Linked DNA regions of Xenopus tropicalis. The protein of the gene in region 3 purifies or fractionates together with the protein of the main gene of each other region. This does not show direct contact. Links are inferred from orthologs where the notes say so. Each region holds a gene or a part of one and is shown on either strand. Other genes may lie near its edges.

Region 1 (3,639 bases), on a different chromosome or scaffold from region 3:
ATGTTGTATGCATGCTGTCTAAAAGGGGGTCTTAGAGCTTATTATCTGTTAAATAATGGGAAATTTACAGTCCACAAATCTAATAAGATGACTATTTTCTTTTAGATTTCCTCTGAGCCTGTTGCCAAAAAACCCAAGGCTGATGACTCCATCATCCATTCCCCTAGCTCTGCTGAAAAAGACAAGTCATCCAGTTGGCTACGGAACCTGTCCAATAACAACAAGGTACCTCAGTCATACCCTATCTCAAAACTCATGTTGGCACATGTAGGGAAACAACATATTTCTTTGACAAATAGATGAAAAATCTATTCTGCTGTGCTATGTGTACTTTCTACACACATTGTTTTCATATACATGTATTTGTGTATTTTCTGTTCTGTTGAAATGTTTAGCCTATATAAGAATGAAGTAAGTGGATCGCCAACGACTTAGGGACACTGCAAACTCCACAGTCACGGTCATATCATCACTCTTGGAACTTACATTTGTTCCCTGCCAATAAATATTATTTGGCTTTACATTTATTCCAGCTCATCGTTTCCAATAAAAGTTGCTAGGCAATAAGGTCCAATATGACAACCTAAGGAGTGACTGAGGCATGTGTAGCAGGATTGATGAGAGGGGAAGTCGGAGAACAATGTTTTCATAAACTAGATTCTTTTCAGGTTTGCACTTCAGTGATTAATACAAGACCCTGTTACAACTGACAGTTTACACCTAAATAGTATTAATCTTTTCTAATTATCTTTATTTAGTTAGAATAAAATCAAATGGGTGACTCAAGCAGTTTAAAAGTTTGCTTCCCACAGAAGCAAGCTTAATGTCATAGATGACATCTAGATTGCACACCTGGCTTTAAGGGAAAAAAATACTTTGTCTTATTTTCTCCCCCTACATAGATTACACTTTAAAAAAGAAACAAGCCAAAAAAAAACATTCTCTGTATAAATGCAAAAGTATAGCGTACACTGTGTAGTAACAATGACTAAAGGAGTTGTCAGTAGTATACCACAGAGATGTTGTTATTGATGTGTATCATAATTAAAAACTGATATGAAGAGCCAGCTCAGTGTCTTGTTGGCTAGGCAAATTGCTGTACTTAATAATGCAAAGGTTGAATAATTATATGGAATGTAAGTTCTCAGTTTTCATTGAAAAATATCCATATTAATGCAAGTATATTGTTGGAAATATTGCTTTCTGTAAACTAATTTCTATTTTCTGTTACTTTGTTCTGCAATGATTCTCTGTGCTACAATTTATGTAGTCTTTGAAACCAAGTTGACCATTGTATAATAGTTTCTCTGTTACAGATGATAATCTTAGATTGTGTTTTGGGATAGTTTTGACCTAAAGTTTTTTTCTATGTATTGATTATAGAACACGGGATATGTACATCCACGTCAGCGTCTGTCTGCTTTCCGGCCTTGGTCCCCCGCCATTTCAGCAAACGACAAAGAGTTGTCTGCTCACCTGCCAGCTCTGATTAGAGACAGGTAACACCATGGCTTATCTGAACATTACCTATAGTCAGTATACTGATCATATCAGCAAGGAGGCTGTTGTTTGTTTCTATAATATTAAGGGGATCCTTGTTTGATACAAGTTTTGGAAACCATTTTTTTTTCCAGTTTGGTAACTTCAAATATATTTATATTTTTTTTTTTTTTTACAGTTTTTATAATTATAAGAGCTTTGAAAATCTGGTTGCCCCAAATGTTGCCCTGGCACCTCCTGTTCAACAAAAAGTGATTACAAGCCCCCCATGTGTACCTGCTGTACCCAGAAGCACTCAGTCATCAGGCAGTCCGCCCCAGTCCAGGAAACGGAGGCCTACTGCAGAACTGCCCATAGCTCCAGAGGCGCCAGCACCACCAGCACCAATCAGAGAAGAAGAGAAAGAGTCTGAAACAGAAATTGAAGTGGAAAGCAGAGAAGAATGTATGTGTGAGTTGAAATTTTTTTGTATTGAAGTGCTTAAAGCTAATATTTTTTCCTTTCTATGTTAAATTGCTATTTTTTACGTAGTATTGTGGAGATGCAATGAAATAAGTTGCTAGTGCTTATGCAGGATAGAAATTTGTTTTTCTGATGTGTAAGAATTATGTTTTGTTTTTACTTGATATCCTATTGGATTATTTAACCATGATCACCCCAAGCAGCAGTTAAGAGCTCTGATGTAATTTATTGTCCATGTTATTATATTGAGGCAGATAAAAACAATGTCTGTTAAGAAAAAGTAGAAAGCTTGACCTATGTCTGGGTTTCGGTTCATGGATAAATAGCTTCAGTTTGTGGGAATATGCTTCAGAGAACTGCAGAGAATATTCTTTGGATGAGTATGAACAGTTTTAGTACCTGGCTGTATAAGGAAATAGAAAAATATTCCATGTCAGGATTGCAATGTGTCTTAAATCTTCTTGCTAATGAATGTTATTGGGTGCACAAATATGAAGTTATACTATTTTTAATGTAGCTGTTTTTAGGAGGCCTACAAAATACTTACTATATTTCTTATGTTCCCCTCCATATAGTTACCTCTTCCTTGTCTTCGCTCTCGTCTCCCTCCTTTACATCCTCAAGTTCAGCCAAGGAATTAAGTTCCCCAGGCATGCTAGCACCAACTGTGATCAATACATCTTATGAGGTGGCTTCTCACAGTGACCAACACAGCAGTGGATTGGAAGCTGAACTGGAGCACCTAAGGCAAGCCCTGGACAGTGGTCTAGATTCCAAGGAAGCCAAAGAAAAATTCCTCCATGAAGTTGTAAAAATGCGAGTAAAACAAGAAGAGAAACTCAATGCTGCTTTACAGGCCAAGAGAAGCCTTCAGCAGGTAATGCCACATTGCAAACACTGGAAGGCATTTTGTAGTGCTGTTGCCAAAATATAGACACTACTTAGAATTGCCCTATCATTGGAGAAGCCTCAAAGATAAAATACTCTCCATAAATCATGGGAACTTACAGGGGAATTAATATTTTTCTCCAGCTGCTAGATGATAATTGTACTTCAGACAGGAGGCAGCTTTGCTCTTTGCCATCAACCGAGATGAATCATGGTTGTTTCCTTCCCTGTGTTTCTGAGTTTCTAATTCTGGTCAAGAGAAAGTCAGCGCTGCTGCAGAACTAACAATGGCTTGGCTGGGAAGTGAGATTATTGCAAGGGAAAAGGATTTCCCATGACCTAGTTGCAGGGTGTTGCTTAACAGAAATATGTTGTTGTGCATGCTGGTATCTGAGCGAGAGGGGAAGTGTCACTTCTGGTCCAGTCCTCCACCCCCATATGTCATTCTGTCAATCTTTATAACAACAACAATACCAACTAGGAACTATAGAAGCTTATAATGCATTTGTATTCAACTGCAAACATGTTTTGTATGTGCAGAATTCCTGTCTAACTACTCAATAGCATTAGGGCAAGTTAAAATGTTGGATGCGTTTTCTAAAAGATCTTCCTCTGTGCTTATTTTTTATGGCACTTACCTAAAGATTTATTAACTATGCATATGTATTTTGTGTTTCAATCTAATCTAAAATCTCTCATATAATATTACTGTCAAAGTCAAGCAATCGATTCTTTGCACTGCATTGATCATAGATCAGTACTAATTATATTCTTGATTTTTTTTTTCTT
Region 2 (3,639 bases), on a different chromosome or scaffold from region 3:
TGTTCAGGCACCACTGGTGTTTGGCCCAGTAAGCTGTCAACACTGTCTGGAGTGGCCATTTCAGCAGCTAACATTGGCCCTTGTATGACCACCTACAATCAGTGATCAATATTGGTGCTTGAGGAACCCCTTAGTCTGATATAGAAACAGTCTTACAGGTTCCTGGAATGGGAGAAACTTTGCCAGAGTTACCGCTCCCCCTTGCTGCTCGCGAGTCTCAGGACGGCAGTCTCTCATTAATCGAGTCGTCTGCCTGCAGAGGCACACCAATAATTAGGAGGTGCCACGGGATGATGGATCCTCTTTTATTTCTGAGCATTCCTGTATTTACAGCTCTGCGCCACTATGATCATTATCAGCTTGTTACTGTATTTATGCACGCTTCTCCATTCCTCTCAGCCATGCCATAAGCAGAGCAAACACGCTTTTTATCAGCTGAACTACAACTCCATACAATGCTGCTAGCTGGAGCTCAGTAAAACTGGCGCAGGCTGGATTATAAATATTCCGAACAGGGTATATTGCCACCAAGAGAGCCCTATATCATGCAACACAAACATCTGATCGTATGTGTACACCCAAGAATGTTCTAATATGTAATTTAAGCCTTTTAATTACCCCTTATCTTGGAACAGGTACTCTCTCCTGGGGCCAGGGTGAGTTGTAATGTAAATACATAGAATTAATCCTGCTATCATTTTTTTAATGGAAAATACCCAAATTTTTTTTAAAAAAAAATAGGTGTTATCATTTTAAACTTGTTTTTAAGTTTATAGTGAGATAATTACTGTGTTGTATGTATGTATATTAGTGCATGGGCTGAGGCTTAAACCACAGGCAGCCACACAAGCTATGCCTTTTTAGGCTCACTGAATACTACTTGTAACTAGGCTAAATGACCCTGGCAACAATAAATTGGCTAAGTAGGAGGAAAAAGGTTACCAATTTAAATTTATAACAATAAAGAACCAAGAAGCAGGTAGAATTATTGCAGGAATAAAAGACTAATAAATCAAATGAAGATGACCAACTGCAAAGTTGCTTAGGAACCAGTAATTGGCTCCTGGTTACTGGAAAGCAGATGTTCTCAGGGCAGGCAGTGGAGCAGTGGGTGTGTGCCCTAATGTGTGTGGCAATCCACTCTTTCTTTGGAATCTGTTGCCTAATCAGCCGCTCATAGGGTTGGGCCTAAGGATTTTATAATAGGGCCCAACTTGTTCCGTACGAGGACTTTAATTCCACCTACTGTCCCCTGTTGTTTGTATGGAAAGCAGATTGTGTCAAGTGTAAATGTATTCAATAATTTATCTGACTCGTATACTTTGCATAATAAGGGTAGGTGGTGTAATGTGACTTTCCCTGGCAGTTTGTGGGAATTGGTTTTTTCTTTCCTTCGTTGACAGTCACTTTTCCTGTCATTCTCTCCACTTGGCATGATGTGGAAGTCATTTGTGCCAGATGGATATGCTGTAGGTCAGTCTGTAAAAAGACTGTGTTGCACTGGTTTTAGGAAAGCAAGCTTGGCCCAAGAATTAAAGTGAAAAAAACAAGGCCAGGTCTAGTAACCCTTAGCAACCAATCACCAGTTTGCTCATTCAAGCTATGGGTCTGAGAAAAACAGAGGTATTACGCCATAGCCACACAGTTGCGGATTACAACAAGGTCAACCCAGGCCCAAAGTTTAAAAAGAGCAGAGAGTCATGGAAAGGGGTTGGAGCTTGGGTGGGTGGGGCATCACCCAGGGCCGCCCCTTCAGTTCTGACATTGATAATTACAACTCACCTTCTTGCTTACTTTCCCTTTAATTCCTAGCCATAATTCCAGTGTGTGAAAGTCCCAGCACGTGGGTGAAACCACTTTGTAGTGAAGCACTTCATGGGAAAATGAAATCAATAGTGTGAAAGTCCTTCCAGCCCTTTTATATAAACCTTCCGAAAAGGCAAATATTTATGATTCACACAGATATCCAACCATTTCTTTTTTCAGAGCGGGCATTAGCTTATAATCCATTTGCACTGGCGGCTTGCCACCAAGCAGGGGCATGATACATCTCTGCCGTCTTCATCGCCATTTCTGTCACCTCCACCCAGTGTGCTAGGCAGGGGATCAGGTTACGGACAATATGCCAGGCACCCATGGCTCACTGGGGCATATTAGGCGGTGCTGCTCTGCCTGCTCTTACTGGGAACCCGTTTGGGACGCTGGATTTCTATGTAATTCCTTGTACTACCCCTGGCCGGTATGGTCCTTTGCTAAACTGCAACTTCCAGCAGCCCCTGGCAGCCTCTGCACTTGGAAGTTGTAGTTCAGCAACAGCTGCAGGACCGCTGCAGACTGCAAGGGCTTTTATGCATGCACATATTATATATTTCAATAAACTGCCTGTTGGATTTGGTTGTACAGGGAAACCCATTATCCAAAAAGTTCCGAATTATGGAAAGGCTATGTCCCATAGAGTCAATTTCAGTCTTTAAAAATTATTGTCTTTTTACTGTATTATAATAAGATGGTAGCTTGTACTTGTTCCCAACTAAGATATAAATAATCCTGTTGGGTTTAATTACTTTTTAAAAGAGATCCGAATTATGGAAAGACCCCCTTATCCGGAAAACCCCGGGTCTCGAGCATTCTGGATAACAGGTCCAATACCTGTATACAGTATGTCAGATTTTAAAAAGTTTGAGCTGGCAACCCTATTTAATTTATGGATTTTTTTCTGTTAGGTTGGGGGCCCTCCTGCCTGTACCTCTAACCCCAGCTCTGGAAACAGCACTGAGTACAGTTGTGTTATCTGCATTTCTATAAATGCTTCATTCCCTCCCACCGCGGGCTGTGTTTAACCAGCATAACCTGCTCCCTGACTAATCTGCCGTCTACACGTTAACCCATCCTCTAATAATTCATTGCTCTGCTCAGTTAAGGCGCCACATGTCCGTACTGCTGTGTGCATTTACATCTCTGCAATTAATCCATTAATCAATTTTATTAGGAGGAACATGTTTTACATTAAGAGACTTGGCACCTCATCTGGGTGCAAAGAAAACTGATGCTTCACTCATCTGAACTGGTTTCCAAGCTCAGCCTGCTGGGAGTTGTAGCTGCTGTTCTAGAGTATAAAGTCTAGTAACCCATAGCAATCACTCGGGTGTTATCTTATAGTAATAAGAATAATAAAAAAGAAAGTCTGATTGTTTGCTATGGGATACAACTCTGGAGGGCAACGACATCTAGGGGGTCAGATATATTCTTGGTTTACTTAATTCTGAAAGTGTATTTTATGATTAACTTCCCCTTTATATAGGAAAGAGTGCTTTGCTTTCATAACTGCAAATCAATCTTGTTGAGTCAGACGAGTGGATTAACCTGTTAAATTCTGTTTGTATTTTAGGAAAAAGCTTCACCCTGACTATCACCGTCTTCACCAATCCCCCGCAGGTCGCTACCTACCATCGTGCCATTAAGATCACTGTGGATGGACCTCGAGAGCCAAGACGTAAGTGATATTTCTTTACTCTGCTGATTAAAATCGTATCTATCCCACTTATATATATATATATATATATATATATATATATATATATATATATATATATATATATAAATAATCTTATTTGCAGCTGTCCAGTTTCTGAATTTCAT
Region 3 (4,388 bases):
TTGAGAAGAATGAGCAGTAAGTTCATGTGTGAATGGGAGGGTTTAGTTTTCTTCTCTTGTGTATTGCTCCTAATCTGGGTGGCCATGTATGTATGTATGTATATCTTTATTTATAAAGCGCTACTTATGTAGGCAGCGCTGTACAGTAGAATACATTAATACAAACAGGGGGTTAATAAGATAATAGATAAATACAAAGTATAACAATAAATACAAATAAATACAAGATACAGTTACAGTTGCAATAAGTTAAGAGTCAAAGACACAAGAGGATGGAGGTCCCTGCCCCGTAGAGCTTACAATCTATATGGGAGGGTAACTTACAGATACAAATAGGCAAATATAAGTGCTGTAGGTCACAGTGGGTGACAGTACAATATAAGTGCTAGTTCCCAGAACAGGTGCTGGGCGAGTGCTCCAAAAGGTAGTCTTTTAGTTTGGTTTTAAAAAGACTGGGGGAGGATTCTCTCCGGAGGAAATCAGGGAGGGCATTCCAAATGTAAGGGGCAGCAAGGCAGAAAGGTTTAAGGCGGGAAACCGCAGTAATATTGGGGGGCGCAACCAAACGATTGCTCTGCGAGGAACGAAGGAGTCGGCCAGGAACGTACGGAGACACAAGGGAAGAGATGTTGTGAGGAGCAGACGAATGGAGGGCTTTGAAGGTTAGAAGGAGTTTGTAAGATATTCTTTGTTTAATAGGAAGCCACGATAAGGACTTTAGCAGGGGAAGGGCCTGAACTCTCCTGGATGAGAGGAGGAGAATTCTGGCAGCAGTATTTAATATAGACTGTACGGGGGAAAGATTGGAGTTAGGGAGGCCGGTTAATAGCAGGCCATGTGCTTGGCCACATCACTTCTGGTTAGGGCCACCAATATTAGAGCCCTCTTCTGCTTAGTCAGCAGGACCTCCCCGCAAAGCACCGCATTGTTTTGCCCACCAACTGCCGCTAACTAGTAGTAGACTTAGGCCCCACCAACAAATATGCCCCACTAAGTAACATGCCTGGGCACAGGCCCACACCCATAATCCTTCCTGCCAGCCACATTATGTATGTATAACTTTATCTATAAAGTGCTACTAGGATAGGCAGCGCTGCACAATCTTACAATATATAGTTACACACAGGGAGGACAAGTGTCATAATAAATACAATAAACAAGTATAAATAGAGAGTAAGTGCCCTGTGATCCCTGTCCTGCAGAGCTTACAATCTACATACTCTTACTCTGCCCCACTTCCGCCCATTGCGAAATCACCCCACTTTCCGCAGCCCCTTCAGTTACGGCTTCTGTTGGTTTATGGACCTCCTACAAAAACCAACTAAGCAACCGGTCTCAGGAACACAGTGTAATGAAACGCTCAAGTGCTCTAACTTCCGTGTATTAAGAACGGTGGAAATGACTATACAGGTCAGAATAGGAAATAATGGAAAAGACTGGCGATACTAATAATGCTAATAATGACTTTATTAGTAACATTGCTTATTTACACTAAGGTCACTAAGCGACTGCACGGAACGCTGGGATTCCAAGCTTGGGATACACGCCCTCTGGGGGTAGAGCCCAATACGGGAAACTACTGAATGGATTCAGATCCGCATAGCAACTGGTGACGTATGGGGCCCTGCAGGGCTGCTGAGAGAAAAAGGAGCAAACGTATTTCCTGTGCGCTGCCGGAAGCGCTGCTGCTAGTTCTGTAGGGAGTACTTGGGTGTTTTAGGTCTGCTTTTGACAGCGTTATGGCAAAGACTGTGGCTTATTTTTACGATCCGGACGTGGGGAACTTCCATTATGGTAAGTATTGGTGTAAAGACGTAAAGGCAAACAAATGATGGGTTTTTATAGAAACACATAGCACACTGACACAGGAATCCCGATAGATGCATGAGGAGAGGCACTGGCAGAGGCACTGGCATATAGATACATTACACAGATGCACAAAGGACACGTCTTGAGAAAAAATATTCCTGAAATCAGTGAGAAGTGCAGTAGTTTAAAGGGCAACTTAACCCAAATTTTGTTTAAATGATTTTAGCGTTATTTGTAGATGTAATAGCATTGGAAAGCTGTATCTGCACACTGTTTATACTTTTGGTTTTTACATCTAATTACCAATCTGTCAGAAGAAAACCATACCAGCCCGCGAGTGTCTCCTCATCCATCTTATGTCTGTGTGCTGCTTGCTCATGTGCCGTAAAGTGAAAAGCTGAACTTTAACAAAAAAGACGGCTTTTTCACTCTACTGCGCATGAGTGGGCCCCAGGATTCAAAAGAAAGAAAGAAAGAAGGAAGAGGAAACATTCACTGCAGTTACCCAGGCTGGTGTGGTTTTCTTCTAACAGAAGCACCAACCCCGTGTAAAAGATACGTGATAAAAGACACTTTTTTACATTTCCTTCTCCTTTAAGTCCTTTAAGTAAATCCAACCATCCATTCCCCCTCTGCTGGCTTCTGGGTATCCCTTTGATCTCCACTCCCTCCAGCCCCCCCAGTTTTACATCTATTCCTTCTCTCCCTTCCCTCTGTTCTCTTTGGGAGTTTCCATATCCCCTCGACCACTGCTTCTTCTCACTTAGGTGTTTAAGTTAGGTCTTCTTAAAGTTCTCACCCACCTGCTGATTCAGCATATTCCCTTGTCTGGCAGCTCGCTCCCTCCTGCATCTATTCCTCACCCTTCCTCTTTACAGGCTGTGTTCCTGTTGCAGTATCCTTAGGAACTGTGATGGATCCATGCAGAGATGTGTGTGTGTGTTTGTGGGGTGGGGGGGGGTAGCAGTGCTTGTGCCTTTAAGTTATAAATGGTGTATACTGATGTAGATACACACCGTTTATAAGGATAATTCACAGTGTGGCCATTAGGGAAATGGGCAAACTGTAAATTATAAAGATATAGTTTACAGGATATTTGTGGCTTTTGTGTGTTTTTTTTTCTGTTAAAAACCAACATATTCTGCTGTGCTTTATAGAGACTGCTCACAACATTTTTGGAGTGCAATATCAAACCAGAGCCATGTACAGATAGTGGTTTGCTCAAAATCATTATTGGGCCCAAAATTCTGTAAGGTGGCAACACTTTGTGACCATGTCATGCTATTTCTCAGTGGGTCACCAAATGAATGTGTTTGTTGTAAATATAGTTGTCCTTCAAATGTTTGTTTAAAGACACAGTTTTGCATCTATTGACTGCACACCATTCTGTCATATTTGCCAGCATCTGAAACACTAAAACAGTGGGTGAACATTTGGGGAACATAACATGACAGCATATGGAAAGTGGTAGGGACAGAAATATGGTGTCTATTGCACTTTGCAATACAGAGTTTATGTTGTGGCCAATGTTTGTCCATCATTTTTTATATGTATTTGTAGCCTATATTCAAGAAGATTGATATGGAATTGTTTTAAGGGAAAATCAGAACATCACAATTGCAACCATTAAAATGCTAACCTAGCATTTATTGCCAGATACGATCCTTAATATTTGCATTATCATTCAGGCACAGGTCATCCCATGAAACCTCACCGATTATCCCTTACACACAGTCTGGTTCTACACTATGGACTTTATAAGAAGATGATTGTAAGTATAATAGTTTGAGTGTAGAGTTTTTTTTTTTTCACACAAATAGCAAGGCATAAGTAAAATGCTAATTGTTAACAGAACATTCTTCTCCGAATGTTTGTAATATACATAAGTAAGGAAGCTGTCCTAACTCTTACCCTAACAAATATTTTTTCCTTAGTCCTTTATAAAACAGCAGTTTGAAATATATTGCATTGTCCTATTGCTGTTTATGAATAATGTAAGTAGTATGGTATCTCATGCTGCCACATTTATATTGATATATGCTGAGAAGGAATGTCTCAATATAGTTCCTAAATATATAAAATAAGCATATGTAGAAAACCAACAGTAATAATTGCAAAGTAAATATTAGTAATATATTTTATATTTGGCTACAACCCCCATGGCAAAGGATGTCCCTTATGTGAACATCAGGTTTGTGCCCAGCAGCTTCAAAGGGTCAAACAGCAAGTCCCAAAAAATAAGCCGGTAATTGTGCATGAAGTTGGTGCCTTATTGGCTCTAAAAAACACATAAGGTGGCAATTTGTGGGGCCTACCCTGCTCCTTTGTCTAGGCTACCGGGGAAATATAACATGTGACGTCATAATGAATGGAGACTAAGACTACGCCCAGACCTCCATTTATGTAAATATAGTCTTTTTTTATTGAAAGTTTTCAAAAGTAGTGTCCTTCTGGTTATCTGGGTAGTGAGCCCATATACTATGGTAACAAAGTCCTTCTGACTAAAAGCATCATACTTAATACACCAAAATGATAATTAACATTTATTTTCTATGCATACATTTTCTTCTTCTTCTTCT
Region 4 (4,212 bases), on a different chromosome or scaffold from region 3:
CAGCTATCTCCTTTCTCCTGCTCCCCCTCCCTTAAAGGAACAGTAACACCAAAAAATTAAAGTGTATAAAAGTAATAACAATATAATGTACTGTTGCCCTGCATTGCTACAACTGGTGTGTTTGCCTCAGAAAGACTACTATAGCTTATATAAGTAAGCTGCTATGTAGCCATGGAGGAAGCCATTCAAAGGAGAAAAGGCACAGGCACATAGCAGATAACAGATAAAACACTATTGTATTCTACAGAACTTATCTGTTATCTGCTATGTAACCTGTGCCTTTTCTCCTTTTTTCCAGCTTGAATGGCTGCCCCCATGGCTACACAGCAGCTTATTATATATTAGCTTTTCTGTAGCAAAAACACCAGTTTTTTGCAGAGCAACAGCACATTATATTTTAATTACTTTAAAACACTTTAATTTTTTGATGTTACTGTTCCTTTAAGAATTCATAAAACTCACTTGCCCCTCCCTAAGTAATGTGTAATCTGAGCTACCAGCCTCTAAAGCTGCAGCAGGAAGCTATGAAGACCAAGCTAAAACGACAGCTGCAATCTTAAACAAACGGAGGGAGCTTCTAGCACTTTACTCAGGTATGGCATTCTAGGTGTAACGTTCTTGGTGGCACTAGGGTTGCCACCTCTGCCAGCTTTCTTAGCCGGGCGGGGGTGATATCACTGGGGCTGGGAGGAGGCGGAGCTGTGCTGTCGCAGGGCTATGGCCACCTTGTCAATGTTACTGAGTTGTGCCTGGTTTTCCTCATTTGGGCCTGGGCCTGTCTGGCTCAAAACTGGAAAGGTAGCACTAATGTAGCAAATCTATTGGCAGTTAAATGCCAAAATGAATGTCCTTCTGTAAGAACCTGTATTTACACACCGTAGCTGTTATTTTCTATTACTATTTTATTAATATATAAACACATGCCTTTTTGCCCTATTTAAACTGAAGGCTGCCTATTTGGTTACAAATCAGCCATTTATGGAAACCATTGTAGTGTTTTTAACGCACAGCACATTTAACATTCTTCTGCTTGCAAAATCTAAAAATGTTTAGCTCTATTTTTGTCATTTAAATATAGTCCTAAGACTTAAGTGTTAACCATTCAGACTCCAGTATTTTTTTACTTAGTATATTTCCTAATACATATTTCGGTAGTCGCTATCACCACTCTGAGAATTAACTCTTCGTCAATTTCTAATACCTATCAATAATACAAACAAGACTCTTCACCCAAATCCATTACGGAAGTCACGCATAAAGAATCACGTGACAAAAATGGTCAGCTGACGAGCATCTTCCGCACTAATCACATGATTGGGTAGCGCCTAATCTATTGGAAGTGAAACTTCCGACTCGTATAGACGTAAGCCTCGGGGGGTGTGTCTGGAAGCAGAGGCAAACAAACATGGAGGTTATCTTTCATGAGAAAGTAAGTTCAGCCAATTCTGAATATGGTTTTATTGCGCCACATGGTAAAGAATTGGAATCATCTTCTGGATCACCGTCATGCTGGTAGTATGGCATATAAGATATGAACTAGATGGTTACGCTTTATTTCCTGACTGTGAGTCGAGACTTTTTATGCTATGAACGCTCAGCAGGGACAGCAAGGAAATTCATTGGAAAGTGGGAAACCGGGGTATAGCCAGGAAATCTAATTCATACCTTTCAGTGGTATGCACTGGCTGTTGCAGCCTTATCCTTTTTTGAACAGAGGCAGTAGGGATGCTGAAAGTAATGTATGAATATCCAGGCTGCCCATCAGCAGTAATTAAAACGTGGCATAAGTTTCCAAATTTCATACCATGTTCTGTAGTGGTGCACCCCAGAAAAACTGTACTGTATATTTTATTTGTAAATTGATGACTGGCAAGGGTATACCACTGTTACATTTTCTTCTGTCATAAAACTGTTAATATTGTATTTTACTTGGCAACAATTTTTTTACAGAGTTGGTTTTTTTCTACCTGAAACAGCTTGATCAGTTTGGGGTATATTTACATGCTGTGTTAAAAGTAGAGTGAAACATTACTGGTGATGTTGCTTATAGCAGCCAATTAGATGCTTTGGTTTTCTGACTGTGGAAATCTAATTGCTGATTGGTTGCCCTGGGCAACATCACCGGTAATGCTTCACATATATACCCCTTGCATATACCCCTTAAAGGGGAACTATCGTGAAATTAATAATCATTAAAATGAATCATCACATAAAGTTATGAAAGTCTCTAAATATAATGTATTAAAAATTTTATACAGTTTTTAATATATATCAGTTTTCACAGTGCTCCCTCTAGCAGCTGCTTCTCTCAGCCCTGCTCCTAGCCTGCTATGAAGTCGGAGTCGGGTTTAGCTAACTGACAGGTATGCCTTTCTCTCATTGGCCGCCAGTGCTGTCAATCTGGAGCTAAGGAAAGCCAGCATCAGTAGTTCAATGGCTTCAGAGGCTCCGTTTGAATGCAAAACTCCTGCCTGCTCTCTCCTTTTGCAGTGCCCTCTCCCTAGAAAGGTTTGTAAGAAGTAAATCAGTGGCTGGTGAATATTACATACAGGGCATTCAAACTGGGACATCAGCGTGTCTCACTGCTCAGCTAAAAGCATGTGCTGTGAAGGGGGGGGGAACTACTTCTGACACAGTCGGGGGAAGGGGGAAGTTGAGGTAGAGGCAGGAGTTTTGCAGAAATCTGTCCCTGAACGGAGAGAGGAGCCTTTTGCAGCAGTGACCTACCAATGCTGGTTTGTAATGCACACGCTGTTGGGAGGGGGCGGGGTCAGGAGAGAGCAGGAGTTTTCTGTGAAGATTTCAGAGAAGGGACAGAGCTAAAGTTGCTGCCTTTAGGTGCCTTTTGGGAGAGGGGAGAGTTGTATATCTCTGGGTGTTTGTGTGTATGTGTATCATTATCAGTGTGTGTGTTTGTATATTTGTGTGTATCTGTGTGTGTGTGTGGGTATATTTGTATGTATCTGTGTGTGTGTGTGGGTATATTTGTATGTATCTGTGTGTGTGTGTGGGTATATTTGTATGTATCTGTGTGTGTGTGTGGGTATATTTGTATGTATCTGTGTGTGTGTGTGTGTGTGGGGGGGGGGGGGGGGGTAAATCTGTGTGTGTGTGTGTGTGTGTGGGTAAATCTGTGTGTGTGGGTAAATCTGTGTGTGTGTGTGTGTGTGGGGGGGGGTAAATCTGTGTGTGTGTGTGTGGGTAAATCTGTGTGTGGGTAAATCTGTGTGTGTGGGTAAATCTGTGTATATGTACGTGTGTGGGTATATCTGTGTGTGTCAGTCCGTGAATCTATGTGTGTCTTTCTGTGAGAGAGAGTGAGAGAGTGTGTGTGTGTGTGTGTGCAAAGAAACCCTTACAATGGGCCAACTGCGTATGCAACCTCACATGGGAAAAATAACCTCTGTTGTGTAACATTTGCCTAAAAAAAATAAACTTCAGATTTGTAAATGTTTTTTCCCAAATCTGTGTTTGTGGTTGTAATTCCTGCTCTGAACCCTGAGGGGAGTTACCAAGGTCAAGTAATTAATTACTGTTTGGTATGGTACAGGGTTGGCCAAGTGTTACACTAAGGCTACTGCTACGCAGGGCTGGATTGTCTGAACGAAGACCAAGAATCAGCCCCTTCACTGGCATCAGCCTTCTTACTTGCCTGTGCCCGGTACCACTGCTATGTACAGAGTGCACACACGCAGTGGATTTCAGCTCTGAAATGTGTGAGTATGCATTTAGGAACTGACACGTGTGCGCACCCTGGACAAAGCAGTGGTACCGGGCGCAGGGAAGAAGATGCCAGTGAAGGGGCCAATTCTCTGTGTTTTTCCATATGTTTTTCCATAGCCTTATATGAGAATGTAATGTAATGCAAATTCAGGGAAAATTCATATGCACTATTTTCATTTAGGGTCTATACATCCAACATACTTTAGCAAGAAATTGTATTGAGATGTGGCAAATTGCAACATTTTTAAACATTTTTCAGAAAAGTCATAAAAACCACTAAATTTAGGAGAGCTTTGCAGATTGGTACTTTGGTGTAAAAAAAGACTCTTTAACCTTTTTGGATTTGTCAGATTGTGTACTTTCCAAAAATATGTGGTTTTCAGGGGTCACCCTACATTTCTGCAGCTTTTACCCCACATAAAACTGCCATGTGTTTATGAATTAGGTAAAGGTAAGCCATGAAATTAGTGTGCACAAGGTATATTTTGG
Region 5 (3,639 bases), on a different chromosome or scaffold from region 3:
GCACAGATCAAAGTACCGGCAGCATAACAAGGGGCCAACCTTTGCCCCCAACCCCTGCCTTCAGCAGGTTCACTGGTCAGAACAGCATAACGGGCAGGTCACGGCGCCAGGGTGGGGCACAGTAACTTCATCTCTGGCTGCGCCTCGGGCACAGGGACATAATGCAGAGCCTGGGCGCACAAAGGGTTAACTAACACACACAAGCAAAGGAGCCGGCTCCCATGGCTCCATGCCGGAACATTCCAGTGGGATCACTAGCACTACTCTAACCCACTGGGTCACCCACTGCCACCATGATGCCCTACTGTACCCATCATGCCCTACTGTACCCATCATACCCTACTGTACCCATCATGCACTACTGTACCCATCATGCCCTACTGTACCCATCATGCCCTACTGTACCCATCATGCCCTACTGCCTCCATCATACCCTATTGTATCCATCATGTACTACTGTACCCATCATGCCCTACTGCCACCATCATACCGTACTGTACCCATCATGCATTACTGTACCTATCACACCCTACTGTACCCATCATGCATTACTGTATCCATCATGCCATGCTGTACCTATCATGCCCTACTTTACCCATCATACCCTACCGTACCCATCATGCCCTACTGTACCCAAAATGCTCTACTTTACCCATCATGCCCTACTGTACCCATCATGCACTACTGTACCCAACATGCTCTACTTTACCCATCATACCCTACTGTACCCATCACGCCCTACTGTACCCAACATACTCTACTGTACCTATCATACCCTACTGTACCCATCATGCCCTACCGTACCCATCATGCCCTACTGTACCCATCATACCCTACTGTACCCATCATGCCCTACCGTACCCATCATGCCCTACTGTACCCATCATACCCTACTGTACCCATCCCGCCCTACTGTACCCAACATACTCTACTGTACCTATCATACCCTACTGTACCCATCATGCCCTACCGTACCCATCATGCCCTACTGTACCCATCATACCCTACTGTACCCATTATGCCCTACTGTGCCTATCATACCCTACTGTACCCATCATGCCCCACTGTACCCAACATGCCCTACTGTAACTATCAGACCCTACTGTACCCATCATGCCCTACTGTACCCATCATGCCCTACTGTACCCATCATGCACTACTGTACCCATCATGCACTACTGTACCCATCATACCCTACTGTACCCATCATGCCCTACTGTACCCATCATACCCTACTGTACCCATCATGCCCTACTGCAGGAGGCTCAAACTCAATTTACCTGGGGGCCGCAGGAGGCAAAGTCAGGATGAGGCTGGGCCGCATAAGGGATTTCACAAAAAATTGGCTTTCAAGGGATAATGCAAGGCACGGCGGGCGGGAGCTGCTGATTGCGGAAATGACGTTATGCCATCATAACAGTTATTATGGGAAGACGTTCTGTGTGCACAATTAGCTCTTCCCATAATAACTGTTATGATGGCATAACGTCATTTCCGCAATCAGCAGCTCCCGCCCGCCGTGCCTTGCATTATCCCTTGAATCGCAATAAAAATCGTGATCCATTCATTGCTTTTGAGAAGGCGTTGGTGCGCGCCACAAAATACTGTACCGAGGGCCGCAAATGGCCCGCGAGTTTGAGACCCCTGCCCTACTGTACCCATCATGCCCTACTGTACCTATCATGCCCTACTGTACCCAACATGCTCTACCGTACCCATCATGCCCTACTGTACCCATCATGCCCTATGTCCCCACTATTCCCACCTACAACTGCTCTTTGGAAAGGCCCAAAGCATCTGCCCTACTGGCACATCCCCAAGGGCAGCTGTGAAGAAAGTCACCTTTGGTCACCTCCAGACCATGCCACACACTCCCTATCTGAGCAATCCGATTGCAGGGAATGGTTACAGTGTTGTTTGTCATAACAATGATTAAAGGTTACCGAGTATCAGGATTCCTTGGCCACAATGTAGCATTTATTGCTCCTATAAAGGAAACCAAGGCAGAGGGCATGGCATACAGTGCCAGCAGATCCAATGAGACCGCTGTGTGAAAGCTGCCATATTGCTTGCCCAGTGGGGGGTATATCAGGCCATGCCAGAGTTATAGTTGTGCCAGCTCTGGCTTTGCAGAACTAAAGCGAGATCCAACTGGGCTCACAGTGCCCCCCCCCCCCCCCCGTGAGTAACCCATGCCAACCAACACCAGAGCCAGTGTGGCACAATATGGGCATAAGCACCCACCACAGCCACAGTAACCATCTACAGTACTTTAGCATAGGGATAGGGAAAGCGCCTATTTGGAGCGGGTACATTACAAGAAGAAATGGGCCCAGCCTGGGTTCCTCCCACTAAGCAGACAGCAGGAGGCCCCACAGAGCATGGATCAGGGCTATGGGAGAGCCTTTCCCCCCCAAACGCGCCTCCAGCGCACAGCACAAAGCCTGAGCCGAAGACGTCAGCAGTGGGTGTTGGTTTCCCTGACACTGGGAGAAGTGTTTGCGGTTCTGCTCAGAGGGGCCCGGTGCTGACTGGCAGTGCCCAAATGACACGCTTGGCTGAAGCCAGGCAGCTCTTAATGGCCGGGCTTGTGTTGCACAGATGCTGCTTTGGGCATGATGTCCCCAGCACACAAAAGCCGCAGCGTGCTTCTCTCATGCCAATTATACATCAATTAAACACAACCAAGCTGCAGCCCCCCATACCCCTATATGCCGGGGGGGGGGAGCAACACATTATACAGTGTTCAACGGTAAATTCTGAAAACATTAACTTCCCTTCCAGGGCAAAAATTTGTACACCCCTAAGGGACAGACATCCTTCCAAAGAGAAAGCAATATGGCAGCTCCCAATACCTCCTGAGCAGCCCACATTTTCTACACACTCCAGCCACTAGAGGCCGCTGTTCCCCTGAGGTTAATGGAGATAAAGGACCAGCATGGCAGCTGCAGGGAGCTTTCTGGGCCCCTCTTTCTTAACCCAGGGTCCCTCCATGTTGCTGGACTACAACTGCCAGCTTTCTTCACCCTATAGCCAAGCATGCTGGGAGTTGTAGTCCAACAACATGCTGAGGATTCTGAGAAGGCTATTTAAATAGCAGCTTGTGCTTAAACTAACAGAAGATAAATGCACAAATCCAGCCTTGAGTTGGCGGCCAACGATCTATAGAGCTCTGTGATGGCTCAGGGTGCCGGGGAAATATAAACTCAGCTGCATGTTATTCCATGGAACCTGTTGCAGACAGTCAGGCTTTTGTACAAAGGCTGCGGCGTTTCCAACTTACCTCGGAGAGAGCACAGGGCACCCCTCTGCCAGTAATCCACCTTGTACCAACACAGGGCAGCTGTGCCCGGGGGGAAGGGGGCGCTCTGCATTAACAGTAAGTGAGCTTACAAGTATGTTTGGCACCAGCGACAGAACATAGCACCCATACCTGTAGCGCAGAGGGCAACAAATGTCTGGGCGTGTTTGCGGATGATCTGCTTGGTATCCTCAGTCAGTGGCATTTTGTTTAGAAAATGTTCAATAAAGTCATGGGGGGTCACAGAGGCCAAGTCCCATTTCAACTTGTTCAGAATCAGCAGTTCCATTAGCTGTGGGGGGGAGAATAAAAGAGAGATGGGCGACAAGTTAGAACTG

Evidence for each region.
Region 1: the proteins of hdac3 (region 3) and ski purify together in Homo sapiens (affinity purification with western blotting; 4 studies listed by BioGRID and IntAct, with this or other methods). This does not show direct contact. The link is inferred for Xenopus tropicalis from reciprocal best matches to the Homo sapiens genes HDAC3 and SKI.
Region 2: the proteins of hdac3 (region 3) and runx1 purify together in Homo sapiens (affinity purification with western blotting; 3 studies listed by BioGRID). This does not show direct contact. The link is inferred for Xenopus tropicalis from reciprocal best matches to the Homo sapiens genes HDAC3 and RUNX1.
Region 4: the proteins of hdac3 (region 3) and atxn3 purify together in Homo sapiens (affinity purification with western blotting; 3 studies listed by BioGRID). This does not show direct contact. The link is inferred for Xenopus tropicalis from reciprocal best matches to the Homo sapiens genes HDAC3 and ATXN3.
Region 5: the proteins of hdac3 (region 3) and ccnd1 purify together in Homo sapiens (affinity purification with western blotting; 5 studies listed by BioGRID and IntAct, with this or other methods). This does not show direct contact. The link is inferred for Xenopus tropicalis from reciprocal best matches to the Homo sapiens genes HDAC3 and CCND1.

What each region holds. Positions count from the first base shown.
Region 1 is NC_030683.2:91,195,501-91,199,139, reverse strand, and holds part of ski (ski oncogene), read left to right. Parts: intron 1-105; coding exon 106-225; intron 226-1,383; coding exon 1,384-1,499; intron 1,500-1,678; coding exon 1,679-1,950; intron 1,951-2,537; coding exon 2,538-2,839; intron 2,840-3,639. UniProt on the Homo sapiens protein: May play a role in terminal differentiation of skeletal muscle cells but not in the determination of cells to the myogenic lineage. Functions as a repressor of TGF-beta signaling.
Region 2 is NC_030678.2:13,923,666-13,927,304, forward strand, and holds part of runx1 (runt-related transcription factor 1), read left to right. Parts: intron 1-3,388; coding exon 3,389-3,493; intron 3,494-3,639.
Region 3 is NC_030679.2:27,765,654-27,770,041, reverse strand, and holds the start of hdac3 (histone deacetylase 3), read left to right. Parts: upstream 1-1,521; 5' UTR 1,522-1,739; coding exon 1,740-1,794; intron 1,795-3,497; coding exon 3,498-3,580; intron 3,581-4,388. UniProt on the Homo sapiens protein: Histone deacetylase that catalyzes the deacetylation of lysine residues on the N-terminal part of the core histones (H2A, H2B, H3 and H4), and some other non-histone substrates.
Region 4 is NC_030684.2:87,324,670-87,328,881, reverse strand, and holds the start of atxn3 (ataxin-3), read left to right. Parts: upstream 1-1,400; 5' UTR 1,401-1,405; coding exon 1,406-1,429; intron 1,430-1,436; exon of another isoform or gene 1,437-1,506; coding exon of another isoform or gene 1,507-1,512; exon of another isoform or gene 1,513-1,540; coding exon of another isoform or gene 1,541-1,564; intron 1,565-4,212. UniProt on the Homo sapiens protein: Deubiquitinating enzyme involved in protein homeostasis maintenance, transcription, cytoskeleton regulation, myogenesis and degradation of misfolded chaperone substrates.
Region 5 is NC_030680.2:14,443,287-14,446,925, reverse strand, and holds part of ccnd1 (G1/S-specific cyclin-D1), read right to left. Parts: intron 3,594-3,639; coding exon 3,434-3,593; intron 1-3,433. UniProt on the Homo sapiens protein: Regulatory component of the cyclin D1-CDK4 (DC) complex that phosphorylates and inhibits members of the retinoblastoma (RB) protein family including RB1 and regulates the cell-cycle during G(1)/S transition.